Linked DNA regions of Struthio camelus. The protein of the gene in region 2 interacts with the protein of the main gene of each other region in a biochemical or structural test. Links are inferred from orthologs where the notes say so. Each region holds a gene or a part of one and is shown on either strand. Other genes may lie near its edges.

Region 1 (9,832 bases), on a different chromosome or scaffold from region 2:
TTGCACTTGCCATGTATTTTTTTAAACAAGCAACTTTCTGCCTAACCAGACAGAGGTATAACCAAGACAATACAAGCTGCACTTCCTACAAATGACACATGCAAGAATTGGTGGGAAACCTTGAACTATTATTGAGGAAATAAAATGGTAAGTATATTCATTCACTGGCATAAGATTCATGATCCCACATGCATTTACACATGTTAGTAAGCTTTACAGACTGTTTATAAACATACTCCTATTTTGAAGTATAGGCTCCATTTGAACATCATTACTTTGAGCTACTGTGGCACAATCATCTTAACTGTTAGAATTTGATCTGTACCTCATCTCTGCTGATGAGTTCATTAGAAAAAGTGAGTCCAGGCATTAATCCTCTTTTCTTCAGCCAAAAAATTGATGCAAATGAGCCAGAAAAGAAGATTCCTTCCACTGCTGCAAAAGCTACTACACGTTCTCCTGTAAGAAAAGACTGATTTCACTAACATGTAGAAAACTTACCAGGATTAAAACTCAAAAGTTGTGAATAGACCAGTGAACTGAGTCTTTCAAGCAGAATGAAAGCACTGCTGCTCAAGTGTGCTATAGTGTGTCCCTGGAAATGGTATAGTAAAGGCTTCTGTCAAAGCAAAATACTTTTTAAACTGCAAAGCAAAGTAAAAACTAATTAGAGGAGGTGGTAGGCAGCTGAAGCCAGCACTCCTTCCCCCAGGTTAAATGTCATACCACCTTTTCCCCCATAGATTACACACTGAACAAAGAACAGTCATCTTCAGTGTCAGATTAAAGTCAGTGACTGCTCATCATTGCTCAAGTGAAGAACTTTGTGCATGAGGAACATTAATAGCAGTGAAATCGCTGCACTCTCTACCATCTCATTTTCACCTTTTAAGCAAGGCATCAAAAATCAGTAAGGCAGATGAGCCATAGCCTCCAACTGAATGTGTCTACCAGAGAGCAGAGACCAGTGCAGTTCATGACACAAGAAACAGTTGCAATTTGATCATACAGAGATTGCCACAGGAGCTACCGTTAGTCAAAATACTAGCAGTTTTAGAGATTTGCATCATCAGTTTATCGGCAAGACAAACAAGATTTTTTCATCTCCAGAATTATACCAGCATTTTCTAGATAGTGCTTACTCATACCCTGACAACAATAATCCCTGTGAACTGTGAGGAAGTCTGGACAAGTTCTGGAAAGCGGTTCTTCCATTCTTTTAGGGAAGAAATTTCACTTTGCTTCTAAAAAACATACTCACCGTATGTTGCTTGCTTGTCCCCAATCCAGCGCATGGCCCAGTCAGCCTTCTTTTTAACACATGGTAGCGTCTCAATAGCATTAAAAAGAAATTCCCTGAGAAGCATATAACTCATTAGGACAAGATTTCAGCAAAGCAACCAGTACAATAAGCCTTCACAGCTGTAGATGGCCTCATTCACTTACAAGGGCTCTGTACCTTCACCTCAGTATTTAAGCTCCCCTCCCATTTTATTTTGTACCAAACCTAGCTGCATTTGTGCTCATCTACCTTTGCATGACCTTCACATTACATCAACAGGAATTCACACAAATTCCCATGACAAAACCAAATGGAGTACTGATTCAAGAAGTATGCTTGAACAAGTCTCAAAACTATAGAGCAGCTGACCTCCACTTTTCCGTGACAAGGCATCTAACTTTTCACATAAGCAATTCTTCCTTAAAAATTTAAAGCAATTAAGCACCCACAAGTAGGAAAGAGTGATGTGGCTAGTCAGCTTTCTGCAAAGTAACAGCAATTAAATAAGTACCTCTACACTGCAGCTAGCATTTCAGTAACACTTTACCCCAGTAGGGTGCTTGCCTCCCATGACATTCCAAAAATAACTCGAAAAAGCCCAAGTTGCTCAAAGCCCTGCACTGAGTTTTAAGAAGATCCCATTATTGAACTGATCCACCTTGTTATGGGAAAGTTACATTTTGGTGATACTTTTAATCACTATTCTTTTTTTCAAGCATGCAGCTTTATCTACATATAGCTGTCAAAAAGGAAGTTTGCCTTTATTATTTTAGAAAGAAGTCAAAAATAGTCAAGTCTCTAACAGCAGCATATGGCGAGTGCATCAGTCATTAACTAGATACAGTGAGTATTAGAGACTATTTTATTTAAAAAGCTGTTATCCTTAGAGAAACTTCCCTACATAGCTACCTACCAACGGAGTGGGTCCTCCGTAGCAGAGCTTACTGTGGTTTAACATACGCCCTTATTTGACCATGTTACCTGTTAGATGTTTAGTCTCATTCCATTATTTCAATGTTAAGTATCTGTTTTTACTCTGAACCTAGATGAAGTCTTGCTCATACATTTAGGAGCAGAAAGATATTTAAAAGTCCATCTTAAGCAGCATTTCAGTGATATTTTAATCTAATTCAAATCCTAAAGTTAGACTAAAGTCACAAACACGAATGATGCACATCATGTAAACCTCAGTTATCAGTTTTGAACCTTTCATTATCAAGCAATACTAACCTCTCTTTTGAATCTTTAATGTATGTGTCAATAAGAAGACTGTACATTTCCGAATGTATATTTTCCATGGCAATCTGGAAGCCATAGAAACAACGGGCTTCTGTGATCTGTACTTCTTGACTGAACCGCTCCACCTAGAGGAAAAAAACTTCATTATCAATGGTTCTGCAAACACTAACTTGTATATTAAAGGTATTGATGCTTTCTATGAGGAGCTACATTTGCTTAGCCTATAACATTATCTTCAAACTAAATCCACATGTTTAGATTCTAAACAGAAACGTTAAGAGCACCAGCATCTTAAGTAGACTTGCAGCTGTAAAGTTGTTCTTTGGTCCCCAAAGGAAGAGAAGAACATCTTAAATTGGCTTTGCCTCCCTTAAGGGAACACTGACAGATCTGAAGCAGAGCAAGGGCTCTGAGTAGGCTAGTTGTTACTATAAGGCAGTGCTTTCTGCTCTGTGGGGAAAACGGCCAGCCTCTTGAATTTAAAAAGCATCCCCCCCACTTCACTTAATAACATAAGGCAATATTAAAGTTTTTAAGCACAGGTAAACAAGCTAGATAGGCCAGCAAGTACCTCATTAAATATGTAGTTATTTGGTTACCTTCATTTCATGGAATAGGTTATTTCAGGGCCCTTTCTACACACTCACCAAGTTCTCATTCACAATGCCATCACTGGCAGCAAAGAAGGCAAGGACATGGGAAATGAAGTATTTTTCCTCAGGCTTCAGCGACTCCCAGTGCTGGATATCCTTTGAAAGATCCACCTGAAACACAAGGGAAGCAATGAAACAATAAAGGGCTCCTAAGAGAAACAGACACTTCAGGTAAAGTGTTCGTACCACAGTCCGAGGTGCTACCCTGCAAGCAGGGTGCACTTTCAGCAGCATGTTAGGGAAGTGTTTTGAGATGTTACAATCCCCTTAGGGCTACGGAAAAATCAGGTAACCTTGTCCAGCTTCATTATTAATATTATGGCAGGAGAAGTGCCTTTGAAGCAGGGATGAAGCTCCCAGGGGCTCCCGGCACAGCCCCAGCCCTCACCTCCTCGGCAGTCCAGAAGGAGGCCTCGGCCTTCTTGTACATCTGCCAGATGTCGTGGTACTGGATGGGGAAGATGACAAAGCGGCGGGGGTTGTCCCGCAGCAGCGGCTCCTCCTCGGCGGCCCGCGGCACCTGCGGGCACAGAGCGGCTCGGCCTCAGCCCCGGGCCGCGGCGGGAGGCCAGCGGGGGCGGCGGCGCCGCTCGGCCACGGGGCGCCGAGGCGGCGAGATGCCCGCGGGGAAGGGAGGGAGGGAGGGTCGGTCCCCACGCGCAGCCCGCGCCGGGGCCCGCACTCACCGGCTTCCCCTCGGCCTCCTGGAAGATCTTGCGCGCCGCCTTGCTGGCCAGGACGCGGGTGCTGCTGAGGGCGGGGGGCTGCGGAGAGAGCGGCGGTGAGAGCCGTGCGGCGCTGGGGGTACCGCGGACGGGGGGCGGCAGGAGGGGGGGGGGGAACCCACCGTGTTCTCCTTGTCGCTCAGCGCCAGGTTCTTCAGCGGCGACAGGCGGGGCTGGTCGTGGCGGGCGGAGAGCGGGACGCGGGAGGACAGCATGCTGTCAGCAGCTCACGGCGGGAACGCGGGACGCACCGCCGCCCGGCGCCGCCCCTTTATATCCCCTTCGAACTTGGCGCCAGAACGCCCGGCTGCCCACTCACAGCCCGAGCCGGGCGCGCGGCGCCCCCGCCCCCGCACGCCCATTGGCTGCAGGCGCGGCGCGGGCCCAGCCTCCCATTGTCGCCGTGGCGGGAGAGGAGGACCTGCCCTTCGCCCCGGCGCTCCCGCCGCGGGGAAAAAGGCGGGAGAGCGCGGGAGCCCCGCCCCCGGGCGCCTGCCCCGCCCCCCGCACCTTGGGGGCTGCGCGGGGGGAGGGGCCGGGCCCCGGGGCTGTGAGGAGCCGTTACCCGCCTCGCGGCCGGCGGTGCGGGCTGGTGGCCGCCGCCGCCGCCGCCCCGGGGCCGCCCCGCCCCGTCGCCCTCGGGGGAGAGGCCTGCTGCCGTGCTTCCCTGCGCCCTGGCCTCGACAGGGCCTGGCAGCTGATGAAATTCTCCAGCTGAATTACTGCGCCGGGTTGATGCCGGTGTAGCTTCCCACTTGGGGCTCACAGGGGCACGTCTATAGCAGCGTCGCTTGGCTTCAGAGCCACCTTTATTCTAGATTAATGGTGTCAGTGGGGCACCTCACGCTAATAAAACTGCTGCACATTGCACCAGGGCATGTCTCCGTGTGGATAAACCCTACAGGATCTTCGGTTTTGCTTTCTCCAGGCTTGAGCTAATCTTCTGGAAAGCTGTAAATGCCTCCATTTATCGCCGATGAGCGTTTAGGGGCACAGGATTTAATGTAAAACATAGCAGTTATTTCACAGCTGAATAAAGGGTACATAAAAATATATTTAAAAAAAAAACCCCGCAGCCTTGATCACTTGTGGTATGCATAACCTCTTCTAAAGAGAAGCGTGGCTGTGGATCCTAAATATGGTATCTGGCTTTGAAAGATTTGGGATGTAATAGGGAAGTGAGTAACTTAATTCCAGATTTTGGCTTTAAGGTAGAGCTTTGGAAATGCCATGTTTCCCCCCTCCCTGCCTTGCTCTTCCCCCCTCTCTTCTGATCCCTCCCCCATCCTGATACATTTTCCCTTTCCCTCCACAGGGATGGCTGCATTTGACAGAAATTGTTTTCATGGAGAAGCAGCCTCCATATGCCACCCGGTTTCATATGGTTTAAATAAATAGTACAAGCAGGGAAGAAAATAGCAATGAAAAAGAAAGAAGATTCATCTGCTTTAAAAAGTCAATATTTATTTGACACTAATGAAATCGTTTTTATTTAAGCAGCAGCTGCATTTCCCTCTTCCTCCCTCCCCACACCAGCTCACTCTAACTTGCAGATATTACGAAAGAAAATAGCAGCGGGCCGTGACGTGTCCCCAGGCCAGTCCCAGCCACGACAGGAAAGGTGTGTGTCTTGCTGAAGCTTTGAACGTTGTCAGTGCAGCCTGACTCCACAGAGGGAGGACCTGCAGACGGACCAAAAAGTTTTCTCAGGGACAACAGAAAGAGAAAGTACGTTTTCATAACTCACAAAGAGCAGCAAAAAGCTGCTAACACAGCTTTAGGCTGATTGCTTCCCTTGGAGCCCCAGAGCAAGAGGCCCTCCTCCGGTGGTTCGCACTGCTGGCGTTACAGCAGCACTGCATATGGCTTGTGCCGGGTCTGATTCACTGAAGCATGTCCTCAGTTTTAATGAAACTAGAAGCTTATTGGGACTTTTAGGCTCTTCAGTGGTGTGGGATGCCACTGAAGTCACTGTCACCCAAACAGAAGCCCAGCCTGCTACTGGGACCGGGGGCCATGAGTTATGAGACCCGGTGCTGCCCAGGGCATGGCTAGAAAATAGGCAGGTAAGGCAGGAGGGGAGCAGACGACCAGGCCCCCAGGGAAGCCGATAGAAAGTGGACATTCAGGGACCTGCCCATCGCTGCAGCCCCTTAAACCATCTTTTCGACTATATGACAATACTGTGTACTGCTTTAGTGAGCAGATTTGGACAAAAACCAAGAGTATTCCCTTCTGACATCATCATCTAACACTGCGAGTTCAAGTGTGTTACTCATTTCAAAACTGCGTCAAGATCACTGAATTTGGGTCTGACTCTCCTCAGCGGGAGCATATCAGAAATGGCCAGCGGAATAAGTCCTTCATCAAACTGTGGTATTTGTCCTATGTAGGACGCTGGACTCACTGCAGGCATCCACCCGGGAGATGCTCTGTGGGACCTTCTGGGCTAAATACATATATATATATGTATATAGCAATCCCAGGACAGAAAGCATCACAAAAGCACATCCCCTCAAATAAGCTTCCAATCTAAGATAAAATGCTACAAGCCATGACTGCCATCTGCCACAGACAGAACAGGAAGCCATGAGACCATCACTGCTATCCTAGACACCTGTAGCAACCAGGCATTTGGTGCGCCTCAGATATATATACTCAGATAGAGGTGGATTCTGGCCTAGAGGCCAAGTGAGGGCCAAGGAAAGGCAAAAACAGCAACAATACCTCATGCTTTTTGCTTTTTGGCTTGCTTCCAGTCAGGGACTTCGGGAAATGTTTAAGGCAGTATCTTCAGTTCCTGCCCAGGTAGGTCTGTGTCTGAGGACAGTGGCTCTTGCTCCAGGCCTTGATCCTCACCCTCTCAGAGAAGAGGCCAGGCTTCAGCAGCCAAACCCCACTAAAACATGGACATCGCAGCCCCTCTTAACCCCAGCCATTCCAGAAAACCAGTTACCCTGAATAAGCGCTGAATTTAGCTCCAGTTTATTCTGATGGCACAGACATGGTGCATAGATAGCAGAGGTGTTATTGTCCCATCCAGGCACTGGTTACCCCCAGCAGAGGGGAGGCAGGAGGTAGCCGAGTGGGCTATTTGTTGGCCATCCCAGTGCAAAGCCAGGTACAAAAACCCACCTACCCAAATCCATCAGCCAGTGTAGGAACAGCCTCCTGTTCTGCCGCAGGAAAGCGGGTTTCTGGGGGAAGGAATGCCAGACAGCTCCAAAATGCTTCATAGAGCCCATACGGAGCCCGACTATCTCCTGCCACCTCTGCACTGCACACCACTCCACCCTGCCCTGCCACCATCTGCTGCTGGGGAGGGGTTAGCAGATAGCTACCGCAGCTCTTTCCCTGCCCCTGCCAAATTACTTCATCCACCCTCCCAAATAAAGGGACCCAAAGCTACCAGTCCACAAGCCCCAGGCCACCTATGCAGACTGTCATGATGTAACTCCTGTGCTATCATTGCAACTCCAGCAACTACTCTCAGAAGTCAATGGCACAGGAGCAGAGCCCTACACTGTGAAAGATGGCTCCGCAGGAAAAAAATGCCTGGAAGGGCTCAGAGATGTCAAACAGGCTGCAAGGAAGAACATTGCACTGTGTGTTGCTATAGATGCAGCTTACTGATATTCAGGAATGAATGGCCACGCTCAATTCTCTCATTACAACAGCGTAATCCGTTTACATCCATTCTTCTCAGAATAAGACTTGTGGATCCTAACAGGCTTCACTGCAGAGGGGAAGTCAGCTGCATAAGGTTTACACACCAGGTGCAATATATGGTTGTATACATACTATTAGAGAGTATCATGGAGGAAAGCAAGAATGAGGAGCTCAGCCTCCCCATCACATCCTTCTCCATGATGCAACTGCATTTCAGGATCAGCATTTTCAAGCAAGCTTCTTGCCAGAGCCAGAGTCAAAACAGTAGGAAAGCAAAACTGTGCTTTGAAAAGCTAGCAATTGCCATCAAACCAGAGGGTGTCCCACCATTTGGCTTGCACCTACTCTTTGGGTGTTTAGAAGAGTGCTTGGCCCAGGGTGGAGTTGTGTTCAAAAAAAAAAAAAATCCAAAAAGTCTAATTAGTTTTACACCTTCTTTGTTTATAGGAATTTAGATACTCAGAAGTGTGAAAGTAATAGCAGCCCAAGGGCAACTAGACAGAGGCAGGTGTGGGACGTTGTATAACCAAGTTGTTCCCGCAAGTCCACTTTCAGACTGCGCACCTGGGAGTTTCAGCCAGAGGAATGAGCCTGGCACCCACCAGGCCCTGGCATGTTTAATCAGCTGCAGACAAAGCGCAACGCTGATGAATTCAAACTAATATAGACTGGAGAGAAAAGTGTAAATTACTCCAGCACTTTCATGAGTACAAAGTAATGTGTGTGGACACTGCTGTGAAGGGCCCAGGGGTGTCCTCTGCACAGAGTGCCAGTACTGCTAAGAAAAGAACCTCTAGGCCTGCAGTTAAAACTGTTTTACCTGGGATTGTTTCACTTTTAAACATTTGTGCAAGACGTACAATTCCTGTTCTCTTACAGAAATAATCCATAGCATTGCATGGAAGGTGTGGAGTGAGATTCAGGGGAAGAATGGGGTATGTGGTCACCAGGAGGACAAACCCGGTGCTGGTGGGGATCTGCAGGTTATCTGCAGGGACCTCTAGTAGATAGGGTGAGTCCTTCTACTTGTTTGTCTTGTACACGTTTCTTCAGATAGTGTCAAACTCTATCACTTCAGGGCAGGACACATTCACGGGTGCTGGGTCCTAAGCCAAGCACCCAGAGGAAGTAGACAAATGAAGCTCGCAAAGGCAAGCAAAGAAAGGAGATGCTCTCCCTGAATGTCCTGAAAACCAGGGGAAGAAGCAGCCATCCATTCAGCTTCTCAAGTACACTGCATCATCTCACCCTTCCTTAACATTTGCTATTTCTTCTCATCCTAATCTGCTACAACCTTCACCAAAAGCTTTGCCACAACCTTCACCAACAAACACCAACAACACCAGCCCTTCACCTACAGCACTGCATGACTGGAGGCTGAGCCTGTCATTGCCACGGACGGTTCCTTCCCAGAGTCATGTCTAAGCCTTAAAAAGCCAGAAGCTGCCTTCCGTAGCAGAGGAAATGAAGTCATTGAGTTATATAGAATATGAAGAGAAGGGAGAAATCTCTGCTCTCATACCCTTGACATTTGTGAAGAGGTGAAGACATGAGCTGGGCAAGAAAATGAAGCTGCTATGACTATCTGCCAGTGGCCTCGGTCCTAACTACCAATGTTGTAAGTATCCTCAGTGCCTGCCCACATAAGCACACCTTGGCAAAGCTCCTTCCACCCAGGCACAGCTTACAGCCCACAAACCTCACTTATCCGTCACACACCTGCTTCGTCTTAATGGGCACTGCTTTGGCTTTCAGCTGGCTGACATGGCTGCATTGGGTAACGCTCCTCAGTCCTGCAGGGCAGGGCCTTCCGCAGCAAAACTGTCAGGGTCATTTTCTTCTGTCTTACTGCAGATCCCCTGCAGGATGAACAGTCACTTCCAGGTAGTGAACTGGCTTATATCACTGCAGGAACAGGCCTAATTCAGATTAAAGTAGATGAAGATATCTGCATGGGAGAGGCTTATTACTAGCTGAGGACACAGTATTTGTTTCATTTTTTCCCTCAGTTCAGGGAAGATGATTATTTTGCACGGCCTCAGCCAGCCAAACTAATCAGTGACAAATCCTGAAATCCTCACCCACAGCTCAGGCCCACACAGTTGTTATTTTCATAAAGCATCATGCTGAAGAGCCCCCACTTTAGACTTGAAAATCCCAAAGTCTGAGTTCTACATGCAGCCATAAAAATATCTAAATATTCTAAATATAACCTGAGATAGAGAGCAGATGGGCACAGACAGGACAACAGGAGGAAGCCATGA
Region 2 (10,453 bases):
AACATCAAAACAGCAGTCTTCATATCATGAGAAATGTGCTTTTTACCTTAAAACCAAAATAGTTGTAGGAGAAGTCTCTATCATAGATAATGGCAGAATTCAGGCGCTGAGAGGAAAGAACATGGATTTATATTTACGTTCAGATTATTTGTGGCTCATATTTTCAGTATAACAATGCTATCATTGTTCTGCATTTCTAGCCTCACAAATCCAGCGAAACAGATATTTCACGCAGGAGGGAATAAAGCATGGAAAAGCACTTAGTCTGAAACAACAAATGCACAGTTTTAACGAACTTTTTCAAATACAATGCACAGTCATTGGCTACATTTTGCTGAAGTCTCTAACTAGATACTAAGAAATAGAAGATAGAATCAAAATGTGAATGTGCCTTCTCAGTAAGAGCACAGGACTTGCACAACTTGAAATTAGACACCAAACCTCCTCTCTCCCTTCTGTGCACACAGAAGAGGTTGCTACAACAAAAGGCACTTTTTTGCAGAGATCATGACAATGAGGACATCTAAGAAAACAGATCTTGCTACAGGAATATCTTGCTGCAGGAATATCCTTAAACGAAGGAAATTCCAACACCTTTTCTCCTACTCTCCAGAACAGAGCAGTTATCTTCACTGGTTTTCTGTACTGGCCTTTTGGGGCTAAAACAGACATTGCTTCCATAGAAATAAGAAAAATAAACTGTCTAAACTAGTTCACTGAATCTTCAGAACTTTAGAACTGGATAAATGTTACATACATCTTTGTTGGCCAAAACTATCTCTAGAGTTTCTTTGGAGATCATTGGCGAGTGCTTCCCATTATGAGGGTTTATGTAGTTGTAGAGATCATCCATCACATCTACAGCAGAAACGTGTTTAAAAAGAGAGACAAAGCAAGTCACCCACAGACATACGTTCACATAATTTGTCATTAATTTTCAAGGATTTAACCAACAGGACTACTCAGCCTCCAAAATAACCCCCTCCAGCTCTACATGCACACAACCTCTCACCTTCATAACACAGTCCAACTTATTTTCTACCTGCTCAGTGCTATTATTTTCTACTGACCTTGAAAAAGCACTTTGCTTAGAATATTTTTTAATAGAATTCATCATTCGGTGACAGCTAGAGAATTTCTGTCTAGCCAACAAAGTTCAGCAGGCAATTCCACTTTAGAGGCAATAAGCTTTTCAAATTGATTCTCTTTTCACAGGTTTAGAGATTTTGTTTTTAAAGTGTGAAAAGAAAGTGGGTGCATCCTAATTTCAATCAATTACATTCTTCAGTCTCTTTTATACAGATATTTTTCGCAAAACAATTTGATTTTCCTTGCGACATGCATAAAACTGATGTTTTTCATTCCCTTGGCATTTTTAGTTGGCCTAGGTATTTAATTTCTGCTAATAAAGAGCTTTACGTATTTATATCCTCCAGAACTCCTACTCCCTTTCTGACTAACTGCTCTCCACACGCCCCCAGACAGACTTACCACTGAATACTTTCTTAGTTTCTTTGTGCAAATTGGACACTGCAATTCTCGCTGCCAGGATAGCATAGTCAGGGTGTTTGGTAGTCAGAGTCGCAGCCGTTTCAGCAGCCAGCGTATCCAGTTCCACTGTTGTGACACCACTGTATAGCCCCTGAATTACCTTCATGGTGATCTGGGCCTGAAACAGCAAAATTCTGCAGATTAGCAATCTTTTGTTTAAAAAAAGAAAAAAAATTTTCAACCATTTAAAAGAAATAAAACATGCTTCGCTATAAGGGGTACCTTTCATTCTGTCTGAACAGCAAAGCAAACTAAAATACAAAATCCTCTTGATAAAGTACTGATTCCTAAAGTTTTTAAACCAAGAGATAGTAGGGCCAGAAAGACAGCAGGGAAAGAGTGAAGAAAATACAAACTGTCAACACAGAATCACCAAGAACTTTCTGAACATAGACACTTTCCTAAAGGCTCGCATAAAGTAGCAGCAAAGTGCATGGAATAAAAGTCACATTAAAACTTTACTTGCCTGGAAGTTTTAAAACTCCAAATGAGTTTAAAACTTGACTTTGTAAATGCCTGATGAGACTTGGAATCTGTTATACTTTAAATTTTATGATGACAAGAGCAAAAAACTCCACCCTGGACAAGTCAAAAAGGATTTTGCTTCATGGCTTAACCTCATCTTCATCTATCCATTGGGACCTTTCCTGGGAAGAGACTTCTGCATCTGCTGCTTCGAGAATCTTCTCTGCTTTTCTCTCAAGCATTTAGTGCTGATCACTACAATCAGCATTTAGTGCTGATCACTACTGTAGTGATCAATATCACTACAATAGTGATATTCTACACTGAAGAACAGAGGTCTGACCTAACACGGTAACCGCCACATACGTTTGAAGTGCCTACAGCCTTACGAAACCAGCACGTGTAATTTTCAAACTTTACTCTCTGTAAGGAAGCATTCAGATTAAGAATTTTTGTTATTTCCTTGTAAATCATCTGTCATGAGAAGTTCTGAATCCAAAAGGAGAAATCCAAGTCCAGGAAGAGATATCCCACACACTCCCGCAGAATAAATAAAAATACATTGCTTCACGTAAAATTAGCTTTGCTATTAAGATGAGGGTACAAAGAGTCAGGAAGCCTAGGGACTTTATTTCTGTCCTCATCATCAACTCCCTCTGTCATTCAGATCAAGTCAATATACTCTCTATTTCAGCATTACTTTTTTGGTACAGAATCAATGTCAGATATTTTACAGATGTAATTGAAGACAAGAAAACAAATCACAAGATCTTGGAGATGTGAAGAGCCTAAGTTGACAACTCCAAATGAACAGACTAGCTTTGCACATCGGCGTAAAAATCTCACAGATGTCAATGGATCCACGAGGCTGTGGAAGGAGAAGCTCGTAGAGGTGGGATTACTAAGCACCCAAAATCATAGACAGCTCGGAAAAGTAAAGTAGGGATATAATGGCAGGGGAGTTCCGTCACAGATAAAGGGCACCTTTCCATTTTATTAAGAGAGGACCAAGATTTATTTTCCATACAGCATTGTTTAGCTTTGCAAATTGAAACAGAAAGCAATCAACTAAAATATGCGAGCTGGAGCAACAAACAACTCAAAGTACAAGAAGCATAATCACCTCCCTCAAACCCAGTCTCAGACTTTGTACTTGTGAGGCAAGAAAAACCCCAAAACACAAACAGCTAGAAGAAACACATTATGGAAAAATAGAGTAGTCAATGTATTTGCCAACAGTTCCTGCACAGGCTGCCGTGCTTAGCTTTCCCTTTGCTAAAAGGAAGGCAAAAAATGGATAGCACCTGCTCAAAACTATTGGCTTTTAGCAAAGATCACCACAAGGGGTAGAGAACAGGAAAAGAGGAGAGAGGACAGACTCACTGGATCAACAAAGTCAGCATTGAGCCCATAGCATAGCTTCTGGATGCGTGACGTGATCTTGTCAAACATGACACGCTCTTGGCGTCCATCTGTTGAGGAAGAAGTTACAAACACAACAGCTCCCGTTACACCAAGAAGCAGTTAAAAACAGTATCCTTCTACCCAGGAGATCACACAATAAGGAGCCAACTCTCTTCTGCGGGAAGTCAGGGCGGGAATCACCAAGGACTACCCGTTTAGGTTTCCTGTTCAGGCTCAAGAGGAAGGGAAAAAAGGTGGCTAGCCCTCTAACCCCCTACCAGAGGTGTCACCCCACACCCTGCCCCCATGGCCTGGACAGGGATCCCCCCACCACGGGGTCACCCCACACCCTGCCCTCCACAGGGACCCCCCCCCCACCACAGGGGTCACCCCACAGCCTGCACCCCACTGCCTCCACAGGAAACCCCCCCCCACCACAGGGGTCACCCCACACCCTGCCCCCCCGCTGCCTCCACAGGGACCCCCCCCACCACAGGGGTCACCCCACACCCTCCCCCCCGATGCCTCCACAGGGACCCCCCCCACCACAGGGGTCACCCCACACCCTCCCCCCCCACTGCCTCCACAGGGACCCCCCTCACCACAGGGGTCACCCCACACCCTGCCCCCCCACTGCCTCCACAGGAAACCCCACCCCACCACAGGGGTCACCCCACACCCTGCCCCCCCGCTGCCTCGACAGGGACCCCCCCCCACCACAGGGGTCACCCCACACCCTGCCCCCCCACTGCCTCCACAGGGACCCCCCCCCACCATAGGGGTCACCCCACACCCTGCCCCCCCACTGCCTCCACAGGGACCCCCCTCACCACAGGGGTCACCCCACACCCTGCCCCCCCACTGCCTCCACAGGGACCCCCCCCCACCACAGGGGTCACCCCACACCCGACCCCCCCGCTGCCTCCACAGGGACCCCCCCCTCCACCACAGGGGTCACCCCCACGCTGCCCCCCGCGGTGCCCCCCGGGCCGCGCCATCCCCAGCCCCGCCGCCCGGCCCCCACCTCGCTTCACGACGTGCATGGCGGCGGTCGGCGTCCCGGCGCGCGGGCTTTCCAACGGCTCCTCGGCGCCAAGCGCGGACTAAACGCTTCCCGCTCCCGCCAACTGCGCTGGCCCCGCCGCGCCGCCGTAGCGCTCCGCCCCCCCCGGCTGAGGCCGCTGCCGCCGCCATCTTGGCTCCGGGCACTGCCGCCTTTTCAGCTCCTTCCCTCACCACCGGGATTTCACGCGCTGCCTCTAACCCCTTCGCGGAGGCTCATCCTTAACTACATCCCCATCCTTCCCCCTCTCCTCCCGGAAAACACCACCCTAGCAGCGGCAGCCGAGTCGTTTGCCCGCTTCCAAGATGGCGACCGACCTCCCACCCTCTCCTTCGAGAGCGGCGGCGAGACGAGAACGGGCCGTTTACGCCAGCCCGAGGGCGCGACGTACGGAGCCGCCGGAGGGACAAAATACCCCCGTTTTGCAAAAAATAATTACAACAACGAGACTACCGTTGTAGTAATAACAACAATTACGCTAATTATGCCAAAGCAAGGCCCAGGCAGAGCATTCAGTGCGGTTCTCCCAACAAGGGGCGCCTGCACAGCCCCTCTCTGCCCACAGAAGGCCCTTGCCGGTGAGGGGCCGGGGCGAGGACAACGGCACATGGACGACCGCCGCGTCCTGCAGCCGCCGTTTTCCCCCCAAAACGCGGGAAACGCCCCGATTGGCAGCGGCGCCCGCCCGGAGGGGACAACGTGGTGCCCTCGGGTGCCCCGGGCCTGCCCGGGCAGGGCGCCGCCCCGGAAAGCTCACCAGGTTTCAGGTGATGGTGGCACGACCCGTGAGGAAAGACGGGCGCTGCGGGGGACGTCGGTTGGCCCCGCGCCGACGCCGACCCCAAACGGGCGGTTACCGGCGCGGGGAGACGGACGCGGTGGCAGGGGCTGACGGCCCCCCGTGCCCTCCTCGGCAAGGGTGAGACTCGGGAACGTCTGGACCTGAGCAGGAAATGACAGTCCATTTTGGGGCCATTTTTCTGCGTTATGGGAAAAGACCCTACAGGATTAAAAAAAAAAAAAGAAGAAAAAAAACAGCATTGTGGTTTATTTGAGCCTTCTGAGTTGCGCTCGCAGCTCTTTGCCCTCAAGTTCTCCTAGGTTTTGCTTTAGGACCACTCTTTTTCACTCTTTTTTTATTTGTTTATAAATAAATATATATTTTATAATGCATATATATATTTTTATATATATATATAATCTATATAATCATATATATTACATATAATATATATTTATATTTATTTTTTTATAAATATATAGATAAATGTGTGTGTGTGTGTGTGTATGTATATTTTATATATATTATGTGGAAGGCCGGGCCTCCCGCTGGCCTGAGTCTTCCCCAGCTAGGAGACTACCTCTGGGCTAGAACAGCGCTCCAAACTAAGGCAGGTTTGTTTCAGTGCCTTAAATGCATGTGATACGAAGAGGGGGGTCTACGGCGCCGGGGATGAGGGGGCGGACGTGCAGCGGGACGCTCAGCTCCCAGCTCTCGCTGACGCGCGAGGTCGTGCCGAGGATGGAGGGAGAACGGGGAGCCTGAGCCCAAGCCCAGCGCTTGGCCTGCTCTGCGGGCACCGGGGAGGCTAGGCCAGCTGGAAACGGCGGAGGTTTGCGATGTGCTCCTCTACAGCGACGTGCTGTGTGGCGTGGTGATGCCAGCCCCTCTTCTGGACCAAGGCGTCCAAGCCGTCCCTTTCAACAGGCCTCTTTTCCAAAAAGACGAGTCAAGACCCCATCAGGCCTCGTTTCTAAAAGAGCCACTGGTGATACTGATGGTTACAGAGCTGACTGCATAAGCAGCAAAGCTGCGCAAGTCTCGAGTTCGCGTCTTCCCTCTGGATGAGGGGAGTCACCCTGGTGCTCCCCACCCCCCGAGGAGCCCTGTCCCAGCCAGGCTGTACGTGTCCTCAGGAGGGAGGCTCTCTCCACTTCTCCCGATGACCATCTCCTGCTTTCCACACCCCTGTTGGCTTCTGTTGTGTGTTCGGAGGTCATCTGCTGGACTGGGACCTGCAGAAGACGTATCCCGAAGATCTTGAGAGCGCTGCAGTGCCAGGCTGTGCCAGCGGTTCTGGTGCACGTGCAGAGCTGTGGGGCTTAAGAAACGTTACTGGCCAAAGCAGGCAAACCATGAGGGTGAGGTGGAGGCCTGGAGTCATGGACTTAGCTGCATGGAGGCGTCTTAATCCTACTAGGGACAGGGAGCCCACCCTGCTCTGTGGCCCTGGCTCTGGATGCCTCTAGGCTCTAGTGGAGGCTTTGAGCATTTTGTGGGATAACTAAGGGGATCTAGTCTGTAAGGAGAGAATACAGAGCCTCCTCCTCTTGCTTGTTTGGTGTGTCGTGGTACACCGTGCTGGGTTCTGAGAAAACTGATTTCCCAACTCTGATTGATTATTGCTCCCTCACTTGCCTTGGGACAACTGTTTGCAAGGCTGTGCCATAAGCAAGACCACCAAAATTATCCACGTTAAACATGCCTCTTTCATTCCACTCCTCTCTTGGGTGGCATTACTTTTACTCTAGCTCAGTTCCTTGACCCAGAAACATCCATAGAAACGCTGTTCATTTGAAGGTAGTCCCTGTTGTAAGCTCGAGGGCGTTGCACCGCCGCAGGACCGCAACTGTGCTCTGGCAGATGGCGTGAGGTGGAGGCAACCGCAGTCACCACGTGGCGTGTCTCTTTCTTCCTTTGGTTTTCTCCCATGATGAGCTTCCTTTTCCTCCTGAGTTAGATTCAATCGCAGTCACCTCCCCCCCCCGCCCAGAGACATGAGTTTATAGCCTTTCCGAGGGAGTCACGAGCTGAGCGGAAAAATGGGCAAGTCAAGACCCAATCCCACTCTGCAGAAGTGTTTTGTACTGAAAATAATGTTTCTGCTTAGTCCAGATTAGAAATCTGCCCCGTTCTCCGCTCTCCCTTCCCTACTGCGGTGGCGGGGGATAGTCCCGGTGGAAGGGATCCTTCCCGCTGCCGAGGAACCTGCTCCGCTCAGAGATTAGGAACAGCTGGCTCCAGATGCAGTGTCATGGAAATGGCCAAAGAGAGGCAGGACCAGCGCATCAATCACAAAAAAAAACCCGCACGCAATATTGAGGGACACACAGAAGGTGGTGTGCGTTCCCTGGAAGACGCAGCGGAAAGGAGGTGGAAACGTTAAGAGCAGAAGACAGGTCAATGGCTGGTAGAAATACTGACTCACTCCTGGATGGATCACAGTTTTAAGTCGAGCTCTCTTTCAGCAGCTGCTGCTACTGCCGAGGCTGAGCCTGTGCAAAGGCAGCAGCAGTCGGTCTCCCAGAAAACCAGCACCGCTATTTCTGCTCCTTGCGCAGCTGGCCAGTTTTCCAGCAAACAGGCCAGGAGAGCACAGACTGGTGTAAGGGAGAATAGGGTGACAGTAAGGGGTGTCTTTGGGGTTGCACCCATCCAGGCTGACATGGAAAGGGAGATGGAGCCGTTTCTCAAATTGCTCCTTCCTTCCACCTGGCAGCTTGGAGGGGACAGCGGACTGCTCCTATCCCGTATCGCTCCTCCGTGTCCCTCTGCACCGAGCTCCCCTTCCTCGCGTCCCCAGACCTGCTGGGGCGGGAGACTGGCGCCGTCGGCTCCCTCCTGCAGCAGGCTGGGGCTGGCCAGCTGGGGACGGCACCACGGCGCTCGCTGCCGCGTGGGACAGCCCCGGCCTCGCCGAGAGCCCGGCAGGAAAACCACGTCCCAGCAGAGGCTTGGTGCTGAGCGGGGCCTCCCCAGTGCACACCCGGCACCGAGCGAGCCCGGGGGTCCCGTCCGACCCCAGCCCCGGCGCCGAAACTCGTACTGGGCGGGAGGGGGGGGGTGATGCCTCCGGTCCCTCCCGGCTGCCAACCCCGGTGGGACAGAGGGTTTGCAGGGGGTGGTGCAGGCTGGGGCTCCCGGGGACCGTGGCCCGGGGCGGAGCTGCACCTGGCGCAGGTGAGCCGAGCGCCGGCCCTCCGGCCCGCCGAGCAGGAAATGCCGTGCACCGGCCGCCTCGCCGCGCCGGGGCTCCCGGCCCCCGCCGCACCGCCGGAGCCCACGGTAGGACGGGGCCCCCGCCGGGACGCCCCTGCCCGGCAGCGCCGGGGCTGCAGGTGCCCCCGTCCCTGGCGCCGGGCGCTGCAGCGTGCGGGTCTCCCTGCCCAGCCCCGATTACGCGGGGAGCAGAACTGGGAACCGCGGGGCTCGCTGCGGCACTTGGTGCCTTGGGCGCTGGCAGCCCAGGCGCCGAGGGGATGGCGAGGCTGCGGGTCTCCGTCTGGCTCCGCTGCCCTTGCAACTCCACCGCCGTGTGGCAGTGCAAAGGTCAAAGTGCCCTTTCCCCATCGCGGCCGGGTAGAGGTCTCCTTGCGGAGACCCCCGGGGCTGCAGTCTGGCAGAGCTGCTGGGATTTCAGCAAGCGGCCGGAGCCTGGGCACGGGGCAGAGCGCGGTGCCCCCCGCCTGGGGGTGGCCCTGCATCCCGGGGGTTTGGGCGGGCGGCGCGGGGCTCACGCCGAGGGCGGCTGGGGGCGATGCTTTGCAGAGGCCAGAGCATCGCTGCAAGGGGCTGGCATGACCCCGCCGCTTCCCCTTCTGTTGGGGAGGCAGCCCGACGGCTCACGCTGCAGGTCGCCTGTCTGCAAGCTGCGCGGGGCCGGGGAGGCCAGGAGCAAAGGGGGTCTGTTGGGTGCACGTGCGGTCTGCTGCCTTCCCAGCCCGTGCCGCTGACTTCCCTTGTGGGGAACGGCCAGAGCAGAGCAGATGGCCCAGGATGACGCCCTGCGAGGGGTGCTTTCCCTGCCACCACTCGGGACAGCAGCCTCAGGAGGCTTTTCTGCCTCTGATGGCACGGCCAACCCACACCGCCAGCTCCCATCGCCTGCGGGTTGGGTCTTTCAAGGCTGCCCCATCACGCTGTCCGTGTGCTGCCTCCTGGGCAGCTCGCCGCGACACGCTGCCAAGCCACCACGGTTCTCCTCCGGGCACCACCGTAAGCCCCTCTGGGCTGCCACCAGCTGGGCTGAAGCCCTTGCCTTGGTCTGCCTTGCCTCCCCGCTTGCCCGCGGTGAGCCGACAGCGAGTGGTGGGGCTGGGGCGCTCACGCTGCCGCGAGCACGGCCGGGCTCCAGGCTGTGCCGAAGGCTGCCGAGCGCTGCGGCCGCTCGCTCTTCCTCGGCCCCATCCTGCATCTCCCTCCTGAGACCTGGTTGCATCTGCCAGCATTTGCTGTGGGCAGGGGCGCTGGGAGCAGATCCCGCTGACCCAGCAGGTAGACCAGATGTGGTGTTCAGGGTATTTGCATTTGCAGATTTTAAGCAGCTGCAGTCCTCTGAAACATGACTGGTAGCGGGTGACGGCAGGAGGGCTCAGCTGAAGCGATAAATGTGCTACCTGCCTTTGCAGGCTCCCATCTGGAGGCTCCTAGGTCTCCTGGCTGCTTTGGGTGTGTGAACAAGGTACCTCACAGCAGCCCTGCAGGAGAAGGGCAAGAGTGGTCTCTTGGGCCAGGAGACTTGCCCAGAGGGTCCTTGAGCGCCTCTGGGCAGTGTGGGACCAGGACAGCGGGAAGCACCAGAGGCTGGGGGACTGCAATCTGTGCTTGGAGCATGGGGCAGCCGTTGCGCAGCCGGCCGGGTCCATCAGGACTTGCTAGGTCTGCGCTGACACTTGCTGTGCCCGGGCTGCCTCTTGTAAATGCACCTGGCATCTTTGTACCAGGCTTCCTGGTGGCCAAATAGCTTTGATACAGTGCCAGCTGCGAGGCAGAGCCCATGGTGAGCCAGTACCCGTGGCACAGCTAATCTGCAGTTCGTTTCAATGACCTGCAGGTAATCCAGATTGATTTCTGGTATCTTATCTGGAAGGAGCATTTTGAGGCTCTCTTTGACTTCTGGAGGAAGCAAGCGCACCCAGGTGCTGGCACGCCTAGGCTGACATCCCCTTGGATCAGGTCCCTGGAGGAAG

What was found.
Region 1: the proteins of RRM1 (region 2) and RRM2 form a complex in vitro, tested with the Homo sapiens proteins (3 studies listed by BioGRID and IntAct). The link is inferred for Struthio camelus from reciprocal best matches to the Homo sapiens genes RRM1 and RRM2.

Annotation. Positions count from the first base shown.
Region 1 is NC_090944.1:24,608,873-24,618,704, forward strand, and holds the start of RRM2 (ribonucleoside-diphosphate reductase subunit M2), read right to left. Parts: upstream 4,349-9,832; 5' UTR 4,115-4,348; coding exon 4,022-4,114; intron 3,939-4,021; coding exon 3,861-3,938; intron 3,695-3,860; coding exon 3,563-3,694; intron 3,286-3,562; coding exon 3,169-3,285; intron 2,647-3,168; coding exon 2,513-2,646; intron 1,357-2,512; coding exon 1,262-1,356; intron 460-1,261; coding exon 326-459; intron 1-325. UniProt on the Homo sapiens protein: Provides the precursors necessary for DNA synthesis. Catalyzes the biosynthesis of deoxyribonucleotides from the corresponding ribonucleotides. Inhibits Wnt signaling.
Region 2 is NC_090942.1:224,377,248-224,387,700, reverse strand, and holds the start of RRM1 (ribonucleoside-diphosphate reductase large subunit), read right to left. Parts: upstream 4,881-10,453; 5' UTR 4,464-4,880; coding exon 4,445-4,463; intron 3,489-4,444; coding exon 3,400-3,488; intron 1,670-3,399; coding exon 1,492-1,669; intron 859-1,491; coding exon 758-858; intron 107-757; coding exon 47-106; intron 1-46. Other genes in the region: sodium-dependent proline transporter-like, read left to right, coding at 8,484-8,549. UniProt on the Homo sapiens protein: Provides the precursors necessary for DNA synthesis. Catalyzes the biosynthesis of deoxyribonucleotides from the corresponding ribonucleotides.